Linked DNA regions of Rhinolophus ferrumequinum. The protein of the gene in region 1 binds, or shares a complex with, the protein of each later gene. Links are inferred from orthologs where the notes say so. Each region holds a gene or a part of one and is shown in the gene's direction. Other genes may lie near its edges.

Region 1 (7,946 bases):
AGACAGTTATTAAATTTTCATCCACACCTCACTGGATAGTTGACCCCTGACTTCTAGGACCTGAGAGTTTAGTTGAGGTGCTAAAACCTGCAAGTATAAAGTAACTTAAGTACATATGTCCATGAGACCACTTCTGAGTACGAATCCAAAAGAACCGAAAGCACGGGCTTGAAGACGTATTTATCTGCACACCCGTGTTCACTGCAGCACAATTCACAATTTAAAACGTGGAAGTGGGCACAAGTGTCCATCGACGGATGAACGGATAAACAAAGGGTGATTTACCCACACCATGGAGTATTATTCAGCCATAAAAATGAGGGGAATCCTCATTTTTACGTGTCCTTCAGGACAAAATGCTCAGTGAGAGAAGCCAGCCACAAAAGAACAAAGACTGTGCCATCCCACTGTTGAATTATCTGTTTCTCTGTTTAACTCTGTCCATCTTTGCTTCACGTATTTGGAAGCTGTTATGAAACTCCTAACAACTTAGGACTTTTGTCTTCTTGATAAGATAACTGTTTTTCATGATGCTGTGTCCTCTTTTATCTTGACAGTACTCTGTGGTGGTCTACCTTATCTGGTGTCAATATCGTCTCTCCAGGCTTGGTAGGCATACTATTTGTATGATTTACATTTTTTAAAGTGCCTCTCTTGAAAATAGTACATGGCAGACTCTTGCTTTTCTTTCCTTTTGATGGAAGTGCTTAACATTTAATGATTAATTTGGTGGGATTTAGGTCTATCATCTCTGTTTTAGGTTTGTTCCTTCTCAAATATACTTTTTTGCTCCCTTTTGGATTATCTGAATTTTTTAGCCATCGATTTTTGTTTGTTGATTTTTAGCTATACCTCTGTGGTTTTTTGTTTTTTTTTTTTCTTTTTTGGTGGTTGCTTTAGGGATGACAATACATCTGAGCTATGAAGTAAGCTCGTCTCTGAGCTACACTAGTGAAATCCACCCACGATGGCTGTATGTAGCTAGCCATTTTTCAGAGTCAGCCTAGAGACTGGTGTGATTGAGTCATTCCAGAGTTTGCAGACAGCCAGCCCCCATCCTGGAGCTCTGGGTCAATTTTGGAGAGGCAGCTGGCCTGGCTCTGACTCGAATTTAGGAGCGTGTATCGAACTGGTGGTGTCCTGCTGTTTGAGAGGCTTTGTGGACAGAGGGGCCGGTCAGCCCAGGGTGGCAACCTCGAAAGAGCAGCTCTGACGTCTGTCGCTTTAAGGTCCGAGCCCTGGGTTTCTGCCCCACTTGGGCTGTTGACTTGACCTTCCCAAGCCTCAGTTCCCGCCTCTGCAATTCAGGCTTGGCTTAGCACGGGAAAGTCTCAGTGCGTCAGTGTGCTTATCATGGGTGGTCACCCCAGCAGGTTTGAGCATCGTCACTTTCTTGGCAAGGCAGGACAGGGAGGGGACTGTCCTGATCAGTGGACTCCACTGCAGACCCATCGAGTCACAGGCTGGTGTCTCGTACTCCAGCCTCTCCCGCCCACTTCCTGGGGCACAGGAGCTGGTAAGGCTGAAGAGGGCCTCGTGATTTATCGGATAGGTCTTTTCTCCATAGTGGACAAACTAGTCATCTGGTACATTGGGTTGAATAGTGTCCCCCCAAATTCATATCCAATGAGAACCTCAATGTTATTTGGAAATAGGGTCTTTGTACATGTCATTTTGGATGTACGGTGGGTCCTAAATCCAATAACTGGAGTCCTCTTGAGAGGACAGACACACAGAGAGAAGCTACGTGACTAGGATAAATGTCGGTTAAGTCCCCATTGTGATAATGCTCTGAAGACCCTAAGAAACGAACGTGTCGCTGCTCACAGATCAGTTAGGTGTTCATGAGCTTGTCCCTGGCTGTGGGTCCACGCTTAAACACATCCCACTGAGCCTGCAGCACTGCCGGCAGGGGTGGGGAAGTCAGCCAGGTCGATAGGACTCTGGGGCACTGGCCTGCGTCACTGGCCATCTAGATAACTGCATGTCTTTTTTTCAAAAATGTTGTTTCATTATGTAGTATTTCAGACAGACAACCAAAGCATGGGAAAGGTAACAAACATTGCACATCTTTCACACAGCCACAGCGAAGTTGAACTTACTGAGTCTTTGTTGTTTATTCTTGTCTTTCAGCGAGTGTGTCTGATGCTTTCTGTATTTTATTGAAAAGACAACAGACTGCTGAGTAAGAAGCCCACACAGCTGCCTGTTTGCCCAGGGCCTGGCACATCTGCAGTGTGGCAGGTGGCAAGGACGTCCTCTTTTGGGTTCTGCCGTTCTCACAGCAAACATTTTTCTGCGTTTAAGCGTGGTGTTTATATTTACTCCTTTCTTTCCTGTTTTTCTTTTTATGCTATGTGGGATTTTACTTTCAAGCTATGGAAGTCAAAACTGCTTGTGGAAGCAAGTGCAACCACAGAGATATTCAAAGAAAATGGCCCACGTCCCCAGGGTGACCAAGGTTGGCAGTGTGTCCCCCACCAGCTTTGAGGGAGGGGAGGAGCCAAGTGGCTTCTGTACTCCTCTTGTTCACTCTCAAAGTGGGCAGTGCTCTGGAGGGCACCAGTACAGCTGCTAACTCTAACTGGTCTGCAGCTCCTACCTTTTCCTGGGGATGCAGAAGGCCCACCCCCCCAGGGAAGTTGGGATGGCAGGGGGCAGGGCACAGACTCTTAACCTCCCACACTTCCTGCTGGACTGGAGGGTGCCCCAGAGGACTGTGGGGGTGATGTCAGCACAATGCAGGAAGAGGCCTGGTGCAGAGGGGAGGGGCTGTGGAGGGCATCCAAGGACGCCGAGCCCAGCTTTTGGAGGCCCGGGGAGCACACCGGGTTGGAGGGGTTCTGGTGGGCCTTCAGGGAACTCAGGAGTTCACCACGCTGTGGGCAAACAGGAGCAGCCTGAGATGGCACCCGTGACCTTTCTCTACTGAGGATTTGCGTCATGTAGCAGGGGCGGGCTTAAGAATGGGTCCCCTCCCCCACAGCCACAGGCCTTGGAGAGGCCTCTGAAGCTGTGTTTCACTTCCTAGAGGCATCCAGCGTTCTGCCTGCTAGCACCCCTGATTTCCATCTGAGTGTTTTGATTTCTATCTGAGTGTAGACTATGGTAGACCCTCTGCGTTTCCTACGACACATGTTGCACCGAGGGCCGAGGTTGGTTTGCTGACGTTTTTGTCTGGTCCACTTTAAAATGTTCTAACTAGTTGTCAACATTTAAAGAGGACAAGCGGTTACACACAATTCCACATTTCTGCTCTTGTTTAAGAACTAGACTACCAGCCCAGGCTGGGTCAAGGTACGCAGGCACCCAGTTCTCCACCCCAGGGCGCCCCTGAACCCTGGTAGTTCCTTTCCTTTCCTGTCCTCTGGGTGCTAAAATTCCACTTATCCTTGGAGGATTTACCTGACACTGTCCCCCGGGGAAGCACTTTTCCTGGACTCCAGTCCCTACTGCTCTTTGGGAAGCTGGGGAGGGTGACCCAGAAATCAGCCCAAGGGTTTGAAAAGCTGCGTGGAGCCCGCACAACAGCCCAGCTGGATGGGCCTTTTGTTAGCGTGGCTGGAGAGGACGTTTACTGCCAACTGTTTCCCTTATTGTGCTGAGGTCTGTGTTACCGGGGCCACAATCCCTTCGGCAGGAGCCTGCTCCTTTGATCTCCCATTTTGCCAGTGAGGCCTGAGAACACTTCTCTCTGGGCTTCCCCCAAAAAAGGAGAAGAAATACCACTAAAAATGTCCCAGAACACCATCTTTTGGTGAAACACAAAGAACCAAACCAAAACAACAACAACAACAAAAAACAAACGCAGAGAGAATTTTCTCTGAAATAGTTTATAGAGGCGCTTGTAAACATGATTTGAGATGACTTACAGGAAACGAGGAACAGAAAGGGCCCTCCAGATCGGACTGCTCCCTATCCAGCTACCGGTCCCCGCAGGCGCGGTTGGCTCACCTAATAATTTATAAAAGACACTCGTGTCTGGGAACCGTGAGGCCGGATGAAATGACAGTCACTCCGGAGAGGCCTCAGGCTGACTCAGCCGGGGACCGGCCTGGGTCGGGGCGCACGGGTCCTCCGGCCCGCGCCCCGCAAGCTCTGCAGTGGTCCCCGCGCCCGGCCGGCCGCCGCACGCTTCCTGCGCGAGCGCCTAGTAGAGGACCCAGCGCGTTCGCCCCGCCCCGCCCGGAGCAATGGCGCCGACGCCGGGGCGCCTTCCCACCCTGGACCCCTGCCCCCGCCCTCCACGAGCGCACGGTCACCGCGGGCGGCGGCTCGGAGGGGCTCCCGGTCCCCGGAGCACGGCGTCCCCGCGCCCTCGCCCGCTGGGCGCCCAGTCAGCTCCCGTCGGCTCCGGCCGCAGCCATTTTGGAGGCAGCGGAGACAAAGAGCGAGACCCCATCGCCGTCCCCAGCAGGCCTCGGCCGCGATCCTAGCCCGCCGCGGCCTCCCGCGGTCGACCCCGGGCCCGCCCGGCAGCCCGCACCCCCACAGCCCGCAGAACCCCGGCGCCCACCGCCCGGCCGCTGTGCCCGGACGCCCGCCCGCGCCCCGGCCTCTGCCGCTCGCAGCCATTGGCCGCGCCTTTTAAGCGCGCGCCGCGACCAATGGCGAGGCGCCCGGCTACCGGGCGGGGGGGCACCGCGGCCAATGGCGAAGCGCCGGGCGGCGGGCGGGGGCGGGCGCGCCGCCGCGCCTGCGTAATGCGCCGCCGCCGCCCTCCCCCCGCGCCGGCCGCCCGCGCCCCCCGCCCGGCCGCCGCCCCCGCCCCGCCCGGCGCGCGCCGCCCCCCGCCCGCCCCCGCCGGCCGCCAGCCCGCCCGCCCGCCCGCCCGCGCGGAGCCGCCTCCCCGCCCAGCGCCGGCCGAGCGGCGGCGGCGGCGGGCCGAGGAGGAAAGATGGCGGCGGGCTCGGATCTGCTGGACGAGGTCTTCTTCAACAGCGAGGTGGACGAGAAAGTGGTGAGCGACCTGGTGGGCTCGCTCGAGTCGCAGCTGGCGGCCAGCGCGGCCCAGCACCACCACCTCGCGCCCCGCGCACCCGCCGGCGCGCTCGGGAACCACGCCGGAGCCGGAGCGGCCGAGGGCGCGCCCGCCGCGGCGCCGGAGCCGCCCCCCGCAGGTAGAGCGCGGCGCGGCCTGAGCGTGGCCGGAAGCCGGCCGGGCCCGCGTCCTCACCGCGCCGCCCCGCTTGTCCCCGCAGGGCCGGCCGCCAAGCTGAGCGCTCTCGAGGCCAGCGCGCCGCCGGGGCCCGGAGCCGGGGCCTGCTCGGGACCGGGGGCCGCGCCCGCGCCCGCCGTCAAGCCCGCCGCCCGCAACGGCCCGCCCGGCGGCCCCGGCGCCGCGCAAACTTTGAATGGGAGCGCCGCGCCGGGGAACTCGCCGCGCGCCGCCGCACCTGCCGCCAGCCTGCTGCTCAACGGGCCCGCCGCCCGCACGCCGCCCCGCCTCGGCGCGCCCGCCGCGCCCGCGCCCCCTGCCCCCTCACCCCCCGCGCCCCCCGCGCCCGCTGCGCCCGCTGCCGCCCCGCCGCCGCCGCCGCCCGCCGTCGCCAGCCTGGCCCGGCCGCCCGGTGCCCCGGCGGGCCCCCCGGCGGCCGCGCAGAACGGGGGCAGCGCCGCACCCGCCCCGGCCCCGGCCCCCGCGCCCGCTCCCGCCCCGGCCCCAGCGCCCGCTCCCGCCCCGGCGCCCGCCGCCAACAGTCAGCCCGGGCCCGCCGCGCCGCCCGCGCAGGTGGCCAAGGCCGACTCGCCCAAGACCGCGGCGCCGCCGGCGCCCCCGCCGCCGCAGACCCTGGCGGCCAGCTGCCCGGCCGGCGCGGGGCCTGGCATGATCCTCGGGCCAACTATGCAAGGGGCGCTGCCCGCCGCCGCCGCCGCCGCCGCCGCCGGCACCCCCACCGGGCTGCCCAAGGGCTCGGCCAGCGCTGTCGCCCAGAGCCTGCCCCGCACGCCCTCGGTCACCACCAGCGGGATCCGGGCCACGCTGACGCCCACCGTCTTGGCCCCTCGTCTGCCACAGCCGCCCCAGAACCCGACCAACATCCAGAACTTTCAGCTGCCCCCAGGTGAGTGAGCGACGCGCGAGTCTGCTGTCCCAGCTGGGAGTCCAGGAAGTTGTAGGGTCTGGCACGGGCCTGTGGGAGCCGAGCTGTAGCCGTGCCCAGGGGCAGGATGTCACCCGGGGTGAGAATGTGTTCTTGCACGTCCCGGTGTCCTGTGGCAGCTGGGGTCTCTTACCTGGTGCAGAGGTTGGTTTCAGTTTATGTCCTTGCCTTGCAAAGTTTCTGGGCCGGTGCTCACAGTTCTCCTCCCGTCCTCCGTGCAGTGCAGTGGCAGCAGGCGCTGCCGGGACACCTTGCTGGGTTATACAGGATGGAGAGACATGGCCTGGGTCCATGGTCTTCCCACGCTTGGCACTTCCCCTCTTGTGTCAGGGATCAGACATATGGTCTGTGTCCTCACTGAGCTTCCCTGCTCCTTTAGTTTCGGGGCTGTGATGGTGTTCCCGGTGGGTCGTGCAGAGTGACGTCCCCTCCTTGAGGCTGGGCAGGTCTGCATGGAAAGCTGCTGCTTCCCTCCTAACACCAGGATGACAGGCACCCCAGGTGAGCCCTGGAGGACTCCTGGGCACACAGCCTTCCTGGGATTTCAGCCCTTCCCATCCCACAGTGGGGTTCAGCTCCGTGTGATCACTTAGAGGACGCCTGGTTCCTCTGATCATGACCGTCCAGTGACACCAGCGGCGGGCACATGCTGTCCAGTCAGCGGGTCTCCTGGAGGGTCAGATGGTGCCGGACCTCACGGAGCCCAGCGCGCTCAGTGAGTCCACTCAGTTTCCTGTCATCTTGGCGCTTCTTTGCGTGTGACAGTGCAAGATCCCCCAAGCGTTCTGTGTCGCCGCTTGGTTCTGGGATTCCCAGGCAGAGGGAAACTCGAGCACTTGCTGTGCCATTTTCTCTCTTCTGTCCCCTGCACTCGTCAGCGTGGAGTGAGTGCTGAGCTTCTGGAGAGCTCCTCCCTGGCTGTGTAGTAACATGTGCTGCTGGAGCAGCTGCTGTGGTGGCAGAAGTAGTAGAAACAGCACCTCCGTGTCTCCTCGTGCTTGCTGGAAAGAGCATGGGTCACCCTGAAAAGGAATTTCAGCGTGTTAAGAAGGCAGGGTTTCCCTGTCCAAGTCAGTGAGCTTGGGCAGTGGTGCAGAGCGTGGCGGGGACCTGTTTCTGTACGGGCACTGGTAGAGAAAGGGTGCAGCCCCAACCAGGGGCTACTGGGGCACCCGTGCTTGAGGAGGAAGAGGTGGTGTGAGATGCCGCTCATGACATGTTGTGTTTGTTTCTGAGTTTGTCAGGGTGTTTCATTGACGGTTCTCTTTTGTTCGTTGATGTGCCTCCTGACCTGTAAGTGGAGAATGTATAGGCTGATCTTTAGTTACATTTAAAACAGGAAATTCGTGCTTATAGTTCATTATGTAAAACGTAGGATACTTTTGACCTGTCCACGGCCATGTCCTTTCGGTGGTCCTGTTGGCTTTAGATTTGTCTTTCTCTTACCAGGATGGTCCCCACATTCCGCTTTTGTTATTTAAAAGTGGGCGAGTTTGTCAGTGAAGTTTGTGAGGCAGGTGCTTGGCCAGGTGTGCAGGGGTGGTGAAGAGGCCGCTGGTGCTGCATGAGGCCTGCAGGTGTGGTGGTTTGGGGTTCACTGGATCCCCTTCCTCTGAGCCTCAGTATAGGTGCAGCCCCTGCCGTTTTTCTTCTGGGGGAGGAAGCTGTGGTTCAAAAAGGGTGTCCTGTCTTTGTCATGGGTGACCGTGGACTCACTTTCATCTCTGTTCAAATGTCAGTATTAAGGATGTGTTCACGTGAGAAGCAGACAACTCCTTGATAAAAACTGTAAAAACACTGACTCGTTGCGTGAGTTCTCATGAGTCTTTGCATTAGTCCTGT
Region 2 (8,068 bases), on another chromosome or scaffold:
TTGGAAAACAGATCCCCACGTGTGAAAGAACACCACTGAAACGTGTCTGGCATGGTACTTCCCACACAGCAGGTACAACATGGCAAACGGGACGTGCTGAACTGAACTGAGGGCTAACAGTGAGCCCTCACAATATGCCAGAAATTGTGGTAAGTTTCTTACACACATTATCTAAGACAATACCTGTAAGACGGGTAATATTATCCCCATTTTCCAGATGCAGAAACTGAGGTTCAAAGTGGTTGAGTAATTTGTATAAAGTCAGGCAGCTGGTCAGTGATGGCAGTGGAACTTGAATCCAGCCAGTGTGACTCCAGAACAAGAGGCCTTAAGCCTGATACTATCCTGCCTCTGCATGTACAGTAACTAAGGGAAGGTCAAGAGGACATGAAGTTTACAACAACTTTTTTGTTTATCTGGAAGTATTCTTTGCTGACTTTCTGACTCTCAGGTATGCTCTCAACTGGTGAGGGTTACTTTACGTAAACGTTATACTGACAGGCCAAAGCAATAAACAGTGAAATCCAGGCAAAGCATAAGTCGACGAGTTTCTATACACCGCAGATGACGGGATCCAAAGAAGCAGGAGCTTGAGAGATCTGTGTGTATTAAGGTGGTTAGGGAGGGCTGTAAGAAGTTAAGACCAAGCCCAAGCAGAGTAAGAGCAAAGGGATAAGGTGAGAGAAGGAGCATTTTGTATCTTAAGAATAAGCACAAAGCTTTTGTGGAATGGGCAGTGGAGCGCGGGGGGGCGGGGGAGGGATCATAAGTAGATGACTAGATGAACAGATGAATAAATAGATGAATAGACAAACACACATGTGGTGTGGAACATCTATATCCACTGCGACTGTAAGCTCCTATTCCTGCCAGCTTTACTTGGTCACTCAAACAGCTGGACAAATGTAAGCGCAGTTGGCAATACTAGTGGGGGTAGGATATGGCAGCTAAAGCAAAGGCCCATTCTGAAACTGTCATTCCGCAGCTCTTGCTAAATAGCCCAGGGTCCCCGAGGTGGGGAGTGTGGGCATCGTGGACCTAACCCTCTATTATTTCCAAACCTAAAAAGGCAGGACGTGCTGACCTAGGGGTTATTTAAATGCATGGTCTCATTTGCTCAGAAATCTTTCACTAGGTTGAACCAGAGTCACCTCTAATTAATGACACACCTAGTGTAACAAGTGCCTGCAGATCCTCCCTGCCCGTAGGAGTCACAGGGACGAGAGCTGGGCCAGCTCTCAGGCCATCAACCGTCTACAACAGACACAGACGCAGGTCAGGAGGAGTGAACTCCCTTACACAAGGGAATGGAGACACCACCTTCCACTCTTTATGACACACTTATTAACATAAGGCCCAAAGTGAAAACATGGTGCTCAACAAAGATTTCCTAGTCTCGCTTAACTAACTCCTCAGCCGAAGTTCCAACAGTCTCTGAGTGAGAGCACTAAGAGTAACTTGGCCTGTACTTGAAGGCAGGAGACGAAAGTCTCTCACTTCAGCAGGATACACTGGGCGTTAAGGTCCCTCTGGCAAACCTCCAACTGCTACATCATTCAACTCATTAAGAGACAGGCAACTCCAAACTTGCATGGTCTTTCTCTCATCTCTCAGACATCAGAAGTGCAGAAATGTCCAAGGAATCCGGGGAAGATTCAAAACCCAATTCACACATTCAAAGAACATTTATTCAACACCGGTGAGTTGTCGGGCACTGATCTAGGGACTGGGAATATAAACATGAGAAACACTAAGTCACTCTGAAAACTGGAAGTTGATCCATCCATCATCATTTCCCTTAATCGTGCCCAACCGGTCAAGGCTCCAGTCAGGAAGTTCTGGTGTCCCCCTCACACCAAATAAGGCTCCTTTTCCCCTTCCCTGCCTGCGATCACGGGTGTGCCCACCTGGACCACTCTCACTCTACTTCACCAGACGAATCCTCACTTCCTTCAAAACCAGCTGAGGTTCCTCTCTTCCTGGAAGCCCTGATCTCCACCTCATCCCAAAGTGATGCCTCATTTCTCTGAACTAACAATTACGGTCTGAGTACCACCATCAGTTTATTTAGAAATGTATCGTTTTGATACTTTTATTTACTCAACAAATCCTGAGTACCAAATGTGTGACAAAATTGTCTTACGGGCTGCAGAAATTGCAGCATATGGTTTGCCTCCCCCAAAGAATTCCTAAGGAGAGTTCTTCTCTTAAACTGCCTTTTCAAATCTTCCTGTAGAGAGCTTGGTTCCTACTCAATGCTTAATACCTAACAATTTATTAGAGCCTGAGGGTTCCTTCCACCAAGCTTACCCAAATTGAAGTTACATAAACTAATGGGGAACAAAACCAAACCAAGCCATTTCTAAATGAACTTCCACTTCTTAAAAACCTCAAAAGAACAAGGAAGGAAAAGAAAACAGGCTATGAAAGTGCTGCTGAACCATCACATTTTACTCACTGACAATCCCCCCTCCAAGCCACACAGAAGTGACCTTCTTCTCTCAGTCTTTACAGCTTAGATTCAAGTGTTTATTTTAACAACAGACCTTGGAAAAGTTTAAAGCCTCCTTGGATAGTTTCCTAACCAAGTCTTTCTAAAGCTTTATTTCTTGATGAGTAAACCCCCTGATGCGTCCTGCATATGCCACTTAACAGACTAACCCAATGAGGTTCACTACAAGGAACCAGAATGTGAGCCTCAAGCACCAGGGGAGCTCAAAGAACACTTTAGACGTGATAAATCCAGAGACAATTTTAACATAAACAACAAAAGCCAGATCCTGCAGAGCCCAGTGGAAGGTTCCAAGTTCCCAGAAGAAGGAAATCAGGGTAATTTCCTCCAGGGGAGCCGCGAGATTCTGCAAGACGCGGGTGTTTCTGCAGGAGGTGAGGGAGATTTAAAATATACATATATTGCTCCGAAGTGGCGTGTTAGACACGACAGCTGGCACCCTATCGCGGGCGAGGGTGAAGCCGGGCTGTGCCATGCGGCGGAGGCAGCCACCTGGGCACTCCCACCATTCTTCGCAGCCGGGTCAGGACGCGAGACAAGAAGAGCCCGGCGCCGCTCGGACCCGCACCGGCGACCCTCGCCCCGTGGGCCGCCTGCCTTCGCCCCGGGGCACCCGGAAAAGCCACCCCACCCGGGTCTCAGGACCCTCGATCTCTCTGGGGACCCAAGGGACAGACGGTGGAGATGGGCTCTCGTGGCGGCTTCCCGGCCCCGGCGCGTTACCCACCTGAGCAGACTGGAGAGGGGATGGCTCGAGGAGCCCAGGCCGCCGCCGCCGCCGCCGCCGCCCCCGGAGCCGCCACCGCCGCCGCCGCCCCCGAAGCCTGAGGAGAGCCGCTTCCCGGACAGCAGCTTCTCCACCGCCGGGAGGTGCCCGGTGCGGGCCGCCTCCAGCAGCTCCTGCTCCTTCCCCATCCCCAGGGCCACCGCCCCCTGGACCCCCTTCCCGGGGCCGTCGCCGAGCCTGCTCGGTCTCCCAAACTTTCCGTCTCCGGGCAACGCACCCCCCAAACCGGCCGGGGACACCACCCCCCTCCCCCCCGCCAGGCCCCCCCACGAGCGCGTCACTTCCGGGATCCGGCGTCACGCGTCACCGCGCCCCCGCGCCCCGCCCCCTTACCCACCTAGCTGGGCGGGGCTCGGCGGTTAACGCAGGTGGCTGTGGTCGGTGCCTCCTGGACTTGGCTGAGCCGAGGTAGGCCTCCGGGGGCGAGAGAAAAGCGCCCTGTGGGCGCCCGCTGTACAGGTGGAAGGGAACAACCAGGGCCCACCTGTGTGCGCCTCCAGAACTGCGCTCCTTCCCCAAAGGTTTGGGAGCCCCCAGGACAGGAAATACGGTAATGCGTCCAGGCAGTGTAGAAACAAAGAGAGAAATACGGTAACGCGCACCTACATTTCCTAGTCCATTCTTTCCGCACGCATAAATTAAATATGTAATGAGTGTGGGGACCTAATGACACACAGGTGAATAAAATGCCCCGTACCTCAGTGAGGGAAGACAGGAAATTTTTAAAATAGAAACATCTCCACTTCATGCTCCCAACCCCTGAAATGGCTCCTAAAATGAAACAGTCAAAGGAAAGACCTCCCTCCGGATGGAATTTGTTTCCTCTTACTTTTGATAGTATTAACCAAGCCGACATGAAAAGTCAGGTTAGTGAAACTGACCCTGACCTTGAGTACTGGTGAAGTGTGAAAATTATTTAATTGGGTATAAACTATGTCTGTTTTGTTTCTGGTACGAGCACCGTTCCTGGCTGAATTAGGTTCTCGAAGTAGTTGTGGATTGGGTAAATTCTGTTCAAGCTATGACTTTAAGGTGCTTGAGGAAAAGAGAAATGCTGGCAATTCAGTATAAACACAGGCCCGCAGACTCTGTCCAATTGAACTGTGTACTAGGAGGCTGAGTCCCTGCCTAAAAGTTCACCAGGTAGCCGCACGCCACGACACGCGCGTACCACGGAACTGAGTTTTCTCCCGTCCCCAAACTTTACTCTGAGGAAAGCGGTTAAGGAAGGAGTTAACGACATTGCGTTTTCGGAAAGGCGGGAAAGAAAAAGAAATCCTTCGATAAACAACACAGCACTTATTTACAAAGGTTGGCTTCCCAGGATGGAAGATGCACAAACTAAACTCCCTACCCTTAATTTTCCCTCTCCCCACCGCCATCAAATCTGAGTTAAAACGGAGCCTTGAGGTCCTCCAGGAGCGCCTCAAAATGACCCTCCGAGGAGCGGTAGGGGTGATGTCATCGCAGCGCGACGACAGGAAGTAAGCTTCTGGGCTGCTGTGCCGCGCTAGGTCCCGGGCTTCTGAGAGGGACAGCACCGCGATCTCCTCGCCCTTATTCTGGAGGCGATGGATAATGCCTGCGAGTCGCCCACGGAGAAGGGTGGGGAGACAGGGGAGTCCGATGAGACAGCCGCTGCTCCCGGGGGTCCCGGGGCTACTGACACGGACGGAATCCCGGAGGAAACTGACGGGGACGGAGATGGGGATTTGAAAGAAGCTGCGGCTGAGGAAGGAGAGGTAGGCAGAGAGGTGTTGACGAGGCTGGAGGAGTACCCCGAGATTGTGTTACTGGCTGCTCGACCACCTTCTTGATCGATCCCTCCCAAGCGAAGTCGAACTCACCAGGACTCCCTCTAGCTCTGCAATCGCGCAGGCGGGGGGGTGGTAGGAGGAGACAAAACTATAGTGTCCGTTCGGTTCCGGAGACCCAAGCACTGGCTTAATATTTTTAATCCCTGCCCTTAGCGATTAAAGCTACTTCTAAGGGAATTCTAAATAGCCTGTTGGTTTTACTGGGGAGGAAATTGGGATCCAAATTCACATTGAGAGGGTGCAAGAGCTAGAACCCAGGATCCCTAGTATCCCTTTCACCGCAATATGGTTTCTATTAAGATGTTGCTTAAGCATAACTTTGTTATTTATTATAGGCTGCAGAGTCGTTAAAGGGAGATTTTGAGAGAATTGCTGGTTTAGTCACGTTCTCCCCCTCTTGGGACATTTAACTGCTACCTCTGGGGGCCAATGTCCAAGGGTCTCTGTAGCATAAACGCGCGAAACCCATCAATTGTGCCACCCAAAAGCTCCGCAGTGTTGTTACCTAGCTGAGCATCCGTCAGGGGACCAGAATCTCAGCGTTCTCAAGGTTCCATTTCTAGAGATAGAATCTTGGGGTCTTAGAGCCATGAGTGAGGGACTTCAAGAGGTCATGGAGAAGGACATTGGATTAGAGGGAAACAGCCTTTCAGCGCATAAAGTTGCATCAAAATAGATAAAGCAAGAACTTTTAGAAAAAAGTGATTAAACTATTTTAGAAGGAACCTTTAAAATGGATCTCAAGGACAAAAAGGATTTGAATAATAATTAGCGTACATACAGAAATTTGCACCCAACAGAAGATGAAATTATTTTTTTTGATGCTTCTGAAACACTTTTAAAAATTGCACATACACCAGACCACAAAGAAAAACAAATTCTTAAAAGTAGATATCATAACGGGCCACATCCTGTGCGATACACTTGAAATTAACGACAGAAAACATCTCCTACCCCCACTCTTCCCCCAAAAAACTAACACCTGGACATTTTAAACTGTTTTCTAAATAACCCATAGATTAAAGAAATTAACAGAGAACACTACATCAAATTCTATGAGGTTTGACCAAAACCTTTTTAAAGAAAAATTCGGGGGCCTGCCCCGGGGCTCAAGCGGTGGGAGCGCTGCGCTCCTAACAGGGAGGTGGCTGGTTCCATTCCCACAAGAGCCAGTGAGCTGCGCCCTCTACAGCTAAAATTGTGAACAACAGCTCTCCCTGGAGCTGGGCTGTGGTGAGCAGCTGGAGAAGGTTAGCTGGGCCTGCTGCTGGCTGCTGTGTGCTGCCATGGGCTGCTGTGTGCTGCCGTGGACATCGTGAGCTGCGGTCGTGGACATCGTGAGCTGCTGTGGGCTACCGTGTGCTGCCATGAGTGGCCGGCAGTCAGCGTGAATGGCCGGCAGCCGACGAGAGCTGCCATGAGCTGCTGTGAGAGGCTGACCGATGACCGGCAACCGACTGCCTCAGTCCCGGGGAGCACAAGGCTCATAACACCAGCAGGGTCCAGGGAGCTGTGTCCTACACAGCTAGACTGAGAAACAGCGGCTGGAACTGGAGTGAGGGGGGAGTAGGGAGGGGGAGGCGGAAGAAAGGGGGGGAAAAAAAGAAAAATTCATAGCCTTATGTATTTTTTTTTTTTTAAAGGTTTTATTGGGGAAGGGGAACAGGACTTTATTGGGGGAACAGTGTGTACTTCCAGGCCTGTTTTTCCAAGTCAAGTTGTTGTCCTTTCAATCTTAGTTGTGGAGGGTGCCGTTCAGCTTCAAGTTGTTGTCCTTTCAGTCTTAGTTGTGTCGGGCGCAGCTCAGCTCCAGGTCCAGTTGCCGTTTTCTAGTTGCAGGGGGCGCAGCCCACCATCCCTTGCGGGCTGACCTTGTGGTTGAGAGGACGCCCTCCAACCAACTGAGCCATCCGGGAGCTCAGCGGCAGCTCAGCTCAAGGTGCCTTGTTCAATCTTAGTTGCAGGGGGCGGAGCCCACCATCCCTTGCGGGACTCGAGGAATTGAACTGGCAACCTTGTGGTTGAGAGCCCACTGGCCCATGTGGGAATCGAACTGGCAGCCTTCGGAGTTAGGAGCATGGAGCTCCAACCGCCTGAGCCACCGGGCCGGCCTTAGCCTTATGTATTTTTATTAACAAGCAGGAGAAATTGAAAATAAGCACCCAACTTAAGAAACCAAGAAAAAGGAAAAATAAACCAGAAGAATGTAGGAACAAGGAGTTAATAAGAATAAAAGCAGATGTTAATGAATTAATGCTTGCAAAACATAAGAAATGATAAAGACCTGGCTATTTGAATGTAAATGCACAACATTATGAAATAAGAAAGGGCAATACACACTGATATGGAGATCTATAAAGTTATAAAAAAAATTTCAATGTTCAAATTTTAATTTTCAATAGATTTGAAAATCTAATAAAAACGGCTTATTTTTAAGGAAAATGTAAATCAAAATTAAAGCACAAAGAGGTTAGAAAACTTGTATAAATCAATAACTAGAGAAGAAATTGAAAAAGTTGCTAGACATAAACTATACTCACTCTCACCTACCCCTCATAGTCCTTTATGAGTTTAAATGTGAGTTCCTTTTTACGGAAAACAAAGGTTAAATCCCATTAATGAGGATTTAATATTGGTTTGTTGTATCCTTAGATTCTGTATTAAGTTGGAGAGGATGAAGTTTGGATTTTGATTTTTCTGTTATTAAACAGATGTTAAACATCTAGCATGAGTTAAACTGTGTAAATGTTTTAGTGGGGAGAGATAAATAAGAGACAAACCTATCTTCAAAAAGTTTTCGGTCTGGGGCCGGCCCGGTGGCTCAGGCAGTTAGAGCTTTATGCTCCTAGCTCCGAAGGCTGCCGGTTCGATTCCCACATGGGCCAGTGGGCTCTCAACCACAAGGTTGCCGACACCAAGGGATGGTGGGCTGCGCCCCCTGCAACTAAGATT
Region 3 (7,519 bases), on another chromosome or scaffold:
TGAAGTTATTGAGAGAACATCAACAGCTTTAGGAAGGTGTACACTTGTTGTAAGCCTGGTTAAAAGGAGACTTTTTTACAAAGTCAAAATTTTAAATGATTCCAGCAGGAAACTGGGAGGAGTCGGGACATTTCTTCCGGCCGCATAAAGCAGGGTGCTCTTGGAGAAATCTACTACCCCCCTAGTAGTTACTTTGCTTAAAGTCTCAATTCCCTGATGGGTAAAATGGGAAAATTTGGAAGTGCTCTTCGACTGAGAAAATCAGCTGTTTCCACGACAGAAAACTCATTAACCAGCTTTCACCCAAACACGCAAAATACCACTTACAACTAGATATCTCAACCCATGTATGACAAAAGTGTAAGTTACTTTATGACAATACGTGTTACACGAAAAACGATTAAACACGTTAGGAACAACTATTTTTTCTAAGTAACCTTAAAACAAGGGCGCCAGGACCAACGATCACCAGCTGCCCAAGTATCAAAAAATTATGCTTCCGAAATCTCTTGATGTCGATTCCGCACGCAGAACAATCAAGCTGCTCTGCGTGTGCCACTCACGACAGAAGCCCTTTTTGAGATTCTACTATACGAAAACAAAGTGGTGACGTTGGCAAATCCCTATTTTGATAAAGGTGAAAAGAAAAAAAAGTATATGTAACTTCCTACCCCATATTCCTGGAGTTGAGGAGGAAATTTCAACATCTTCTGAGTCAGAGGGAAATCTTCACAAGGAAACTATATGATTTGTCTTTTCATTTTTATTCAGAAGCAAAGTAAAAAAACAAAAAAAACAAAACGTGGTTGATATGCAAATAACGCAGTGCTTGCTGGGTAGGTGCAAGCGGACGCAGAGGAAGAGACCGAGGTTGCTGGAGGGAACCGAAAATCTCTCCGCGCTGCAGTGGGCGGGGGCAGGGCGGGGGCAGGGCGGGGGGGGGGCGTCGCTCTTGCAGTCAGCTGCGTGGAAAAACCCGTTTTTCAGGAGCTGTGGCTATCTAACTGGGCAAGACACGAATCCACCCTATTAAAATTGAAAATGCATAAACTTGTGCCACTCCTACTCATCCACCTTGAAGCGGCCCCAGCACGCGAGCACTGGAGTCACGGGATCATCGTAAGAGCGAAAAACGCAGCAACCTAATCTTCACTGTCACAACAACGGATTAGCAGAATGTGGTGTGTTCATAAAGTGGAATGCTATCTGCTGCACTTTCAAAGAGTGTCATACATAAAAAAACATTGAGGTTAAGAGTTGCAGAATACGGTACAGCATGATACCATGAACGAAGGAAAAAAGCAATACTGCACTTGGAATGATTGAAGTATATCTTTAACAGATATAAAAAAATGAAAAGGGTGTTGAATTGGGTACTGCATGATACCATTAATGTAATAAAGTGTATACACGTGTGCCCATGAAACCCAGTGTTACATAGTTTTTCTAGGCCCCATATTTGTATTAACTTTCTTAAAAAGATCTGGAGGAACACAAAATGATTACCCCTGGGAAAGAAAGAGGGGATCAGGATGGGGGCCACTACGCACAAGACTAGATTGACTTGTAATGTTCTAATTTTTAAAAGGCATAATGGATTATTAGTGTAATTTTAATACTTGTGCAATTAAAATATAGGCCTTGCTCTATATTTTCTCCATTTATTTCATTTTTTAAAGTTAGGCTTAGTGAGGTATAATTTACATACAGTAAATTCACCTTTTTATCATACAGTTCTGTGAGTTCTAACTCATACAGACATTTGTCCATTACCACAATCAAAATATCAAACATTTAGATCACCCAAAAAAGTTCCTTTGTCCCCTTTCCTAATCACCCCGTCTGGATTCCCAATCCTGACATCAAGTGCTCTTCTCTGGCTCCATAGTTTTGCCTTTTCCAGAATGGCATAAAAATGGAATCACTCAAAGAATGAAATCTTACCATTTGCGACAACAGGGATGGACCTAAAGTGTATTATGCTAAGTGAAGTAAGCCAGACAGAGAAAGACAAGTACCATATGATTTCATTTATAATGTGGAATCTAAAAAAACAAAGGAACAAACTAAAACAGAAACAAACTCATAGATACAGAGAACTGATGGTTAACAGATTGGATGGGTGGGGCTGGGTGAACAAGGTAAGGGGATTAAGAAATACAAATTGGCAGTTACAAAATAGCCACCGGGATGTAAAGTACAGCTTGGGAATATAGTCAATAATATTGTAATAACTGTATGTTGTCAGGTGGGTACCAGATTTATGGGGGAATCACTTCATAAATTATATAAATGTCTAGCCATTACACTGTACACCTGGAACTAATATAATATTGAATGTCAAATGTAATAGAAAAAAATTTTTAATGGAATCATTCACATATACTTCATGTTTAATATAAAAACAATAGGCATGTGTTAATTGTAAAGAAATACAGACAGTACAGAATTGTAAGAATGCCTTCCCCAAACTACTAACAGTTTATAGTATTTACCTTGCCAGACTGTTTTCTATGTATACATCATACATAGATTTTTTTAAACAAAAAAATATAGACTGTTAGGCATTTTACTTTCCTTAATATATTATAATATGTGGAGGTCCCTGTCCTCTACAACGTAGAAGCTGCAAAGAAGGGACTCATGTAAACGGCAAACACTATAATAGGAAGCAGATGTGTAGTATACACTGGTGGGAAGTATATATGGGTACTGTCAATTGGGTCTGTTGGGACTTCTCCTATAATCCACCAGTCATCTCTTAAAAACAAATCATTTCACACCTCTGCCTTCCCATTGCACCATAAAATCGCATGTCCCCACTATAGCCTACAACGTCCTGCCTGACCTGACCCCTGCCTGCCTGTCCAACCTCATTGCCTGCCACTCTCCCTATCACCTCTTTAAGTTCCAGCCACTTTAGCCAGCTCTTTCCTAGCAGCTCAGGGCCCTCCATCACTCAGCTTGATAAATCTAGTTTATTCTGGTATTCTCTCCTCTTACACTTTTGTTTCCCACTTCAGACTGTAAACTCTCTAAGAATATCGTCTGTCTTCTAATAGATACCCAGCACCTAGTTAAAATCTTGGCGCACAATGAGCACTCTATTTGTTGAATGAATGTACATTTAAATTGGGTCTTAAAAAAGATGGATAGGAGTACAAAAATAATAAATGGTATGCCAGAATACTAGAATGAAGAGAGCAGTGGCAGGGAAGTAACACCAGGAAGATGGCTTGGAGCCTAATGGTGAAGGGGCCTCAATTTTGTGAATTTGGAATGGTGGCAGAGTAAGGGTAGATTGGAAATTTGGTGGGATGAGGATGGGAAGATACAAAGATACCTAGGGCAAGTTGCCGCACAAATCCAGGTCCGAGGCAGCTCTTCCTGATTCCTGCTGGCAGTTACCAACACTTGCTCTGGGCTATCCCAGCCCTTTTAACATTCCTTTGTTTCCCCATCTTAGTGTGGGACCAGGGATTCAGACGGAATTTAGGCGGAACCGGGTCTTGTTTACGTGCTTAGCATCTGATAAATGCAGCAGTTCTCACCAAACATTTGACGGATGGAATAACTGAAAGAATCTGTTTAATGATTAGAGGACGGGTTCAAGAGGATGAGTGAGAATTCTGAGTTCAAGTTGAGACTCAACACTTACTAGCCAGGACCTTGCTTTATCTATCACAAGTTTCCTTTAAAATATTAAATGATTTATTGGAGGTGAGGAGCTTGGCAAAGTTCCTGGTAGACAGTAAGCGCTCAATTACTATTATTAATTGCCCATTCACAAGCACAACCAGTCTCTTGTCCCAGGTTCTTGTGCTGCCAACTCCCCTGTCGGGGTCCAACACAATACCTATGAGTACTGCTGTCCCAGTTAATATCCCACGTCCTGCTCTAGCAACAAAGCCACCAACAAAAAACGGCGACCTCTAAGCCATCACAGCGTGTCAATTACCAGTCACGGTAGCAATATATACAACAGGCGCAGTTGGAAAGAGACGGCTAGGGCAGGGTTCGTAACGCTGAGCTCGCCCACGCTTCCAGTTAACCACAAGCAGGAAAAAGCCCAACCACTGGAGCTCAGCAACAGCCCAGGACCGCGACCACGTGTCGGAGGGCAGTCTGCGCGTGCGCAAGCCAGGCGCGCGCCCGCCGGCCGGAAGAGCTGCGCGTTTCCGGGTTGGAGGCGGGGAGCGGTGCCGGAAGTACTCGGGGAGGGCCGAGCAGTCGGACCGGCTGCTGAGACGATCGCTTCTCTGGGGCAGTCTCCGCATATCATGGGGAGATAGACGCTGCTGCCTGTGAGTCTTGGGCCCTGGCAGTTGAGGAAGAAGAGCGGGAGGAGGGAGTCAGGACCCAGACCCACAGTCGGTCAGTGTTTGAAGAGCCAGGTTGTGGAGGAGACGGGGCTGTGAGGAATCAGGCTCTTGGGACGGGACTGAGGGGATCGGGGCTCGGAGAAGACGCGGCTGTGGGGACCGGGGATGCCGACGGGACTTAGGGAACGGGGACGGGTATGAGTTCTCCGGCACTTGAGGGAAAGCGGTCTGAGAGCGACAGGATTGTGAGGACCCGCGCTCCTAAGAGGAGAGGGTCGGAACGGAACGGGGCGTTAAGACACGGGCTCCTGAGAGCTAAAAGCGAAGCTTGTGAGGACTTGGGCTCCTAAGAGGCAGAAGCGGGACAGTGAAGACCCCGGCTCCTAAGGATTCAGAAACAGAGCATAGAAGACTTAGATCCTTGAGAAGTAGAAGCAGTAAGAGAACTCTTGGGTTTGGGAGGAACAGGAGCGGGCAGTGAAGACGGGCTCCTGTGAGGACAGGATCGGGGCTTGGAGACTCCGAAGTACCTGAGGGAACTGGGCTGTGAGGACCCGCACTCCTAAAAGCGAAGAGTATAAGGGGCCGTGGTTGTGAGATCGGCCTCCAAGGGAAAGGGAGAGAGTTGGAAAAGATATAGTGATCCTTTTTCCCCCCCGTATTCTCTGAACCTAGAGTGGTAAAGGATGTGTTCGGGGGAAGGCGACTCCTCTTTCGCTCTGCCTATTTGGCGTTTGGCAGGCTTTTCTTGTGTAAGATACTTGAAATCTAGGAATCCCAAATGCAAGCATCTTCATTTTCTGCTTCATTCTTGCGAAGCTCGGATGTGAAGTTGAAGCAGTTTGAACTCAGTTATATACTTGATAAGTGCTTTAAATCCCATTCCACTCAACCCTGATTGAGCACAGATCTCTGCATCTCAAATAAAAGAATGTGTGAGATGGAAGGGCCCAAAAAGATAATCTTTTTTAAACTCCTATTTTACATGTAAAGAGGCTAAGGTTCAAAGGGGCTTAGGATCACAGTGATTGAGTAAATCATGATTTTGATACAGTACCCTGCTGTACATAGAAATGGAAGATGATGCTTGGTTAATATCCCTTGAAAACATGCTTCTAGAATCTTTGCTCTAACTTCAAACTCAAGAGGGAAATTTTTACAGATTTCTACTACTTAATTTGGAGTCTTGTAACTGTATTGACATTGATACAGTGCATATCACTATCATTTAGGAAACCTTTAAATGAAGCCCACCCAAAATATAGTAAGCCATTTGGAAAGTTGGAGATAAGTAAGCTCTATCCTATATTTTTAGCACAAGCATTTACTAGAGATGCCTGCTTTTAGATAAGGTTGTCAGGGAGACTTGGATCAGTCATGTCCCTTCTTCAATAATATCTTTTACTGAAACCTACTTAGGCTAACCAGGCACCACCATAAACACTTTCAAGTATTAGTATATCATTTAAGTATCACTTACAGCCCCACAAGTTAGATATTGTTAGTCCCATTGTACAGATAAGGAGATAGGTTCAGAGACTTTAAAGTACCATGCCTGAAATCACATGGTACTGAGTGGCCCAGCCCTAGTCAAACCCAGTTGTGTTTGATTAAAACCTTTTCCTACTTTTCTAAGTGGATTCCTCTCCATATCTCAGTTTGCCCATCAGCAAAATAGAAGTAATAATTATACAAAGCATATCACTGAATGAAAGCACCCCCTCCTTAAGACTCATGTCAACTACTATAACTTATTAGGGTACTTATGTAGTGTGGTGTTTAAGGAGAACTAAATTCCTGTGATTTGAAAGTATCATGGATATTCAAGATAGAAAAATGGGACCTGAATAGAACTTTTCCTCACAATGGAGCAAGATATATTTAATTTTAAGTTTAGGAGGCCAAGAAAGACCACTTTGAAGAATAAAGGCTTACATTTCATTAACTTTATAATTAATTGTAACATGAACTAGATGATTGGGGAAAATGGTCTAACTTAGTTGAAACTACTATTTTCCCCCAATGAGTTAGCCTACACTATTTGCAAGTGCCTATACTTATGCAGATGATGAAAACTTACACCACATTATGAGGTGAAACATTCCCATACCACCATTTCAAAATACTTGATGGTTTAATTAATGATAATTTGTTACTGAGTTAATATCCTCATCTGCATTTACAAAGTATACTTATTTCACTCATTGGTGGTTCTAGCATTGATTTGAGTTATTATAGCAGGATTTCAAAATTACCTGATCAGAAAATCATTGTGTTTGAGCAGATGTGGCCATAGGACATATTAGTTTTGACCTGAGGTCTTTGTGGAAAGCCCGCAAATACTTTGGAGGCAATACATCAGCCGTGCATGCAGTCTGCACTGTGAAACAGGTCTGTTGGAGGCAGAAGACAAACTTTGAAATCTGTACATATGGGCTTAATTTAAAATCTTACACTAATTGTTAGAATTGGAAGGGACTTTAGAATTTGGCTGTTCCCACTGTAGAAACTCTGGTCAAAGGGTCCTCACATAATTCGGTGGCAGAAGTAAGATTGTTCCCAGCCCTCCAGACTTGGGTCTTTGTTGAGCCACAGTACCTTTTATCAATCTCCTGTTGACAATTTGCCACTGTTTTTTTTCAATCCATTTTCTTTTTTTAATGTCTGAGGTCATAAGAATGGTTATAGGATGCCACCAACACATAGTAGGATGAGTGAAACCTTTTAGTTTTAACACACTGGTTTTTATAAATAAGATTTAGAAGAGGAGAGCGTATATGTAATATTAGCAAACATGTTTAGAACATGTTCTCTTTTGTGCTTACCATGTACCACACACTCTTCCAGTGCTTTAGATACATACATTTAGTGAATTGCCACAACTCTCCCATGAGGTATACTTTATGATTAACTCTGTTTTACAGATGAGGAAATCGAGGTATAAAGAGATTAGATAACTTGTTCAAGGACATAAGGTTAATAAGTGGCAGAGTTGGTACTTGAACCCAGACCCTGTTACCGGCATCCATGCCCTTGACCACTGTACTGTACTACCTTTGTGTTAAGTCAAAGCCACCTAAACAGCATCAAATTCGTCCAAAAACTAGTGGAAAAAATTCCACGTTTCTCTTGCTCTCAAGTCTCAGACTGCAGTTCATTGACTCTTTTTGGTTTATTTAGGATGGGAAATATGAGCT

The links.
Region 2: TAF4 (region 1) and TAF11 share a complex: the UniProt entries of both Homo sapiens proteins name them as parts of the TFIID basal transcription factor complex. The link is inferred for Rhinolophus ferrumequinum from reciprocal best matches to the Homo sapiens genes TAF4 and TAF11.
Region 3: the proteins of TAF4 (region 1) and TAF12 are in contact, whole or in part, in a crystal structure (PDB 1H3O), measured with the Homo sapiens proteins. The link is inferred for Rhinolophus ferrumequinum from reciprocal best matches to the Homo sapiens genes TAF4 and TAF12. Residues at the interface, in NP_003176.2 of Homo sapiens: Phe872, Leu873, Leu874, Pro877, Leu878, Arg880, Arg881, Ile882, Ile885, Gly886, His889, Gly890, Ile891, Thr892, Glu893, Leu894, His895, Asp897, Val898, Tyr901, Val902, His904, Ala905, Thr906, Gln907, Gln908, Arg909, Leu910, Gln911, Leu913; in NP_001128690.1 of Homo sapiens: Val57, Leu58, Thr59, Lys62, Leu63, Leu66, Val67, Glu69, Val70, Glu74, Met83, Leu84, Ile87, Ala88, Asp89, Phe91, Ile92, Glu93, Val96, Thr97, Cys100, Ala103, Arg104, Ser108, Ser109, Thr110, Leu111, Glu112, Val113, Lys114.

What each region holds. Positions count from the first base shown.
Region 1 is NC_046306.1:1,375,935-1,383,880, forward strand, and holds the start of TAF4 (transcription initiation factor TFIID subunit 4), read left to right. Parts: upstream 1-4,852; 5' UTR 4,853-4,897; coding exon 4,898-6,065; intron 6,066-7,946. UniProt on the Homo sapiens protein: The TFIID basal transcription factor complex plays a major role in the initiation of RNA polymerase II (Pol II)-dependent transcription.
Region 2 is NC_046286.1:4,993,563-5,001,630, reverse strand, and holds the start of TAF11 (transcription initiation factor TFIID subunit 11), read left to right. Parts: upstream 1-4,765; 5' UTR 4,766-4,870; coding exon 4,871-5,041; intron 5,042-8,068. Other genes in the region: ANKS1A (ankyrin repeat and SAM domain-containing protein 1A), read right to left, coding at 3,240-3,427. UniProt on the Homo sapiens protein: The TFIID basal transcription factor complex plays a major role in the initiation of RNA polymerase II (Pol II)-dependent transcription.
Region 3 is NC_046292.1:19,654,697-19,662,215, reverse strand, and holds the start of TAF12 (transcription initiation factor TFIID subunit 12), read left to right. Parts: upstream 1-4,216; 5' UTR 4,217-4,304; exon of another isoform or gene 4,305-4,374; intron 4,375-7,519. UniProt on the Homo sapiens protein: The TFIID basal transcription factor complex plays a major role in the initiation of RNA polymerase II (Pol II)-dependent transcription.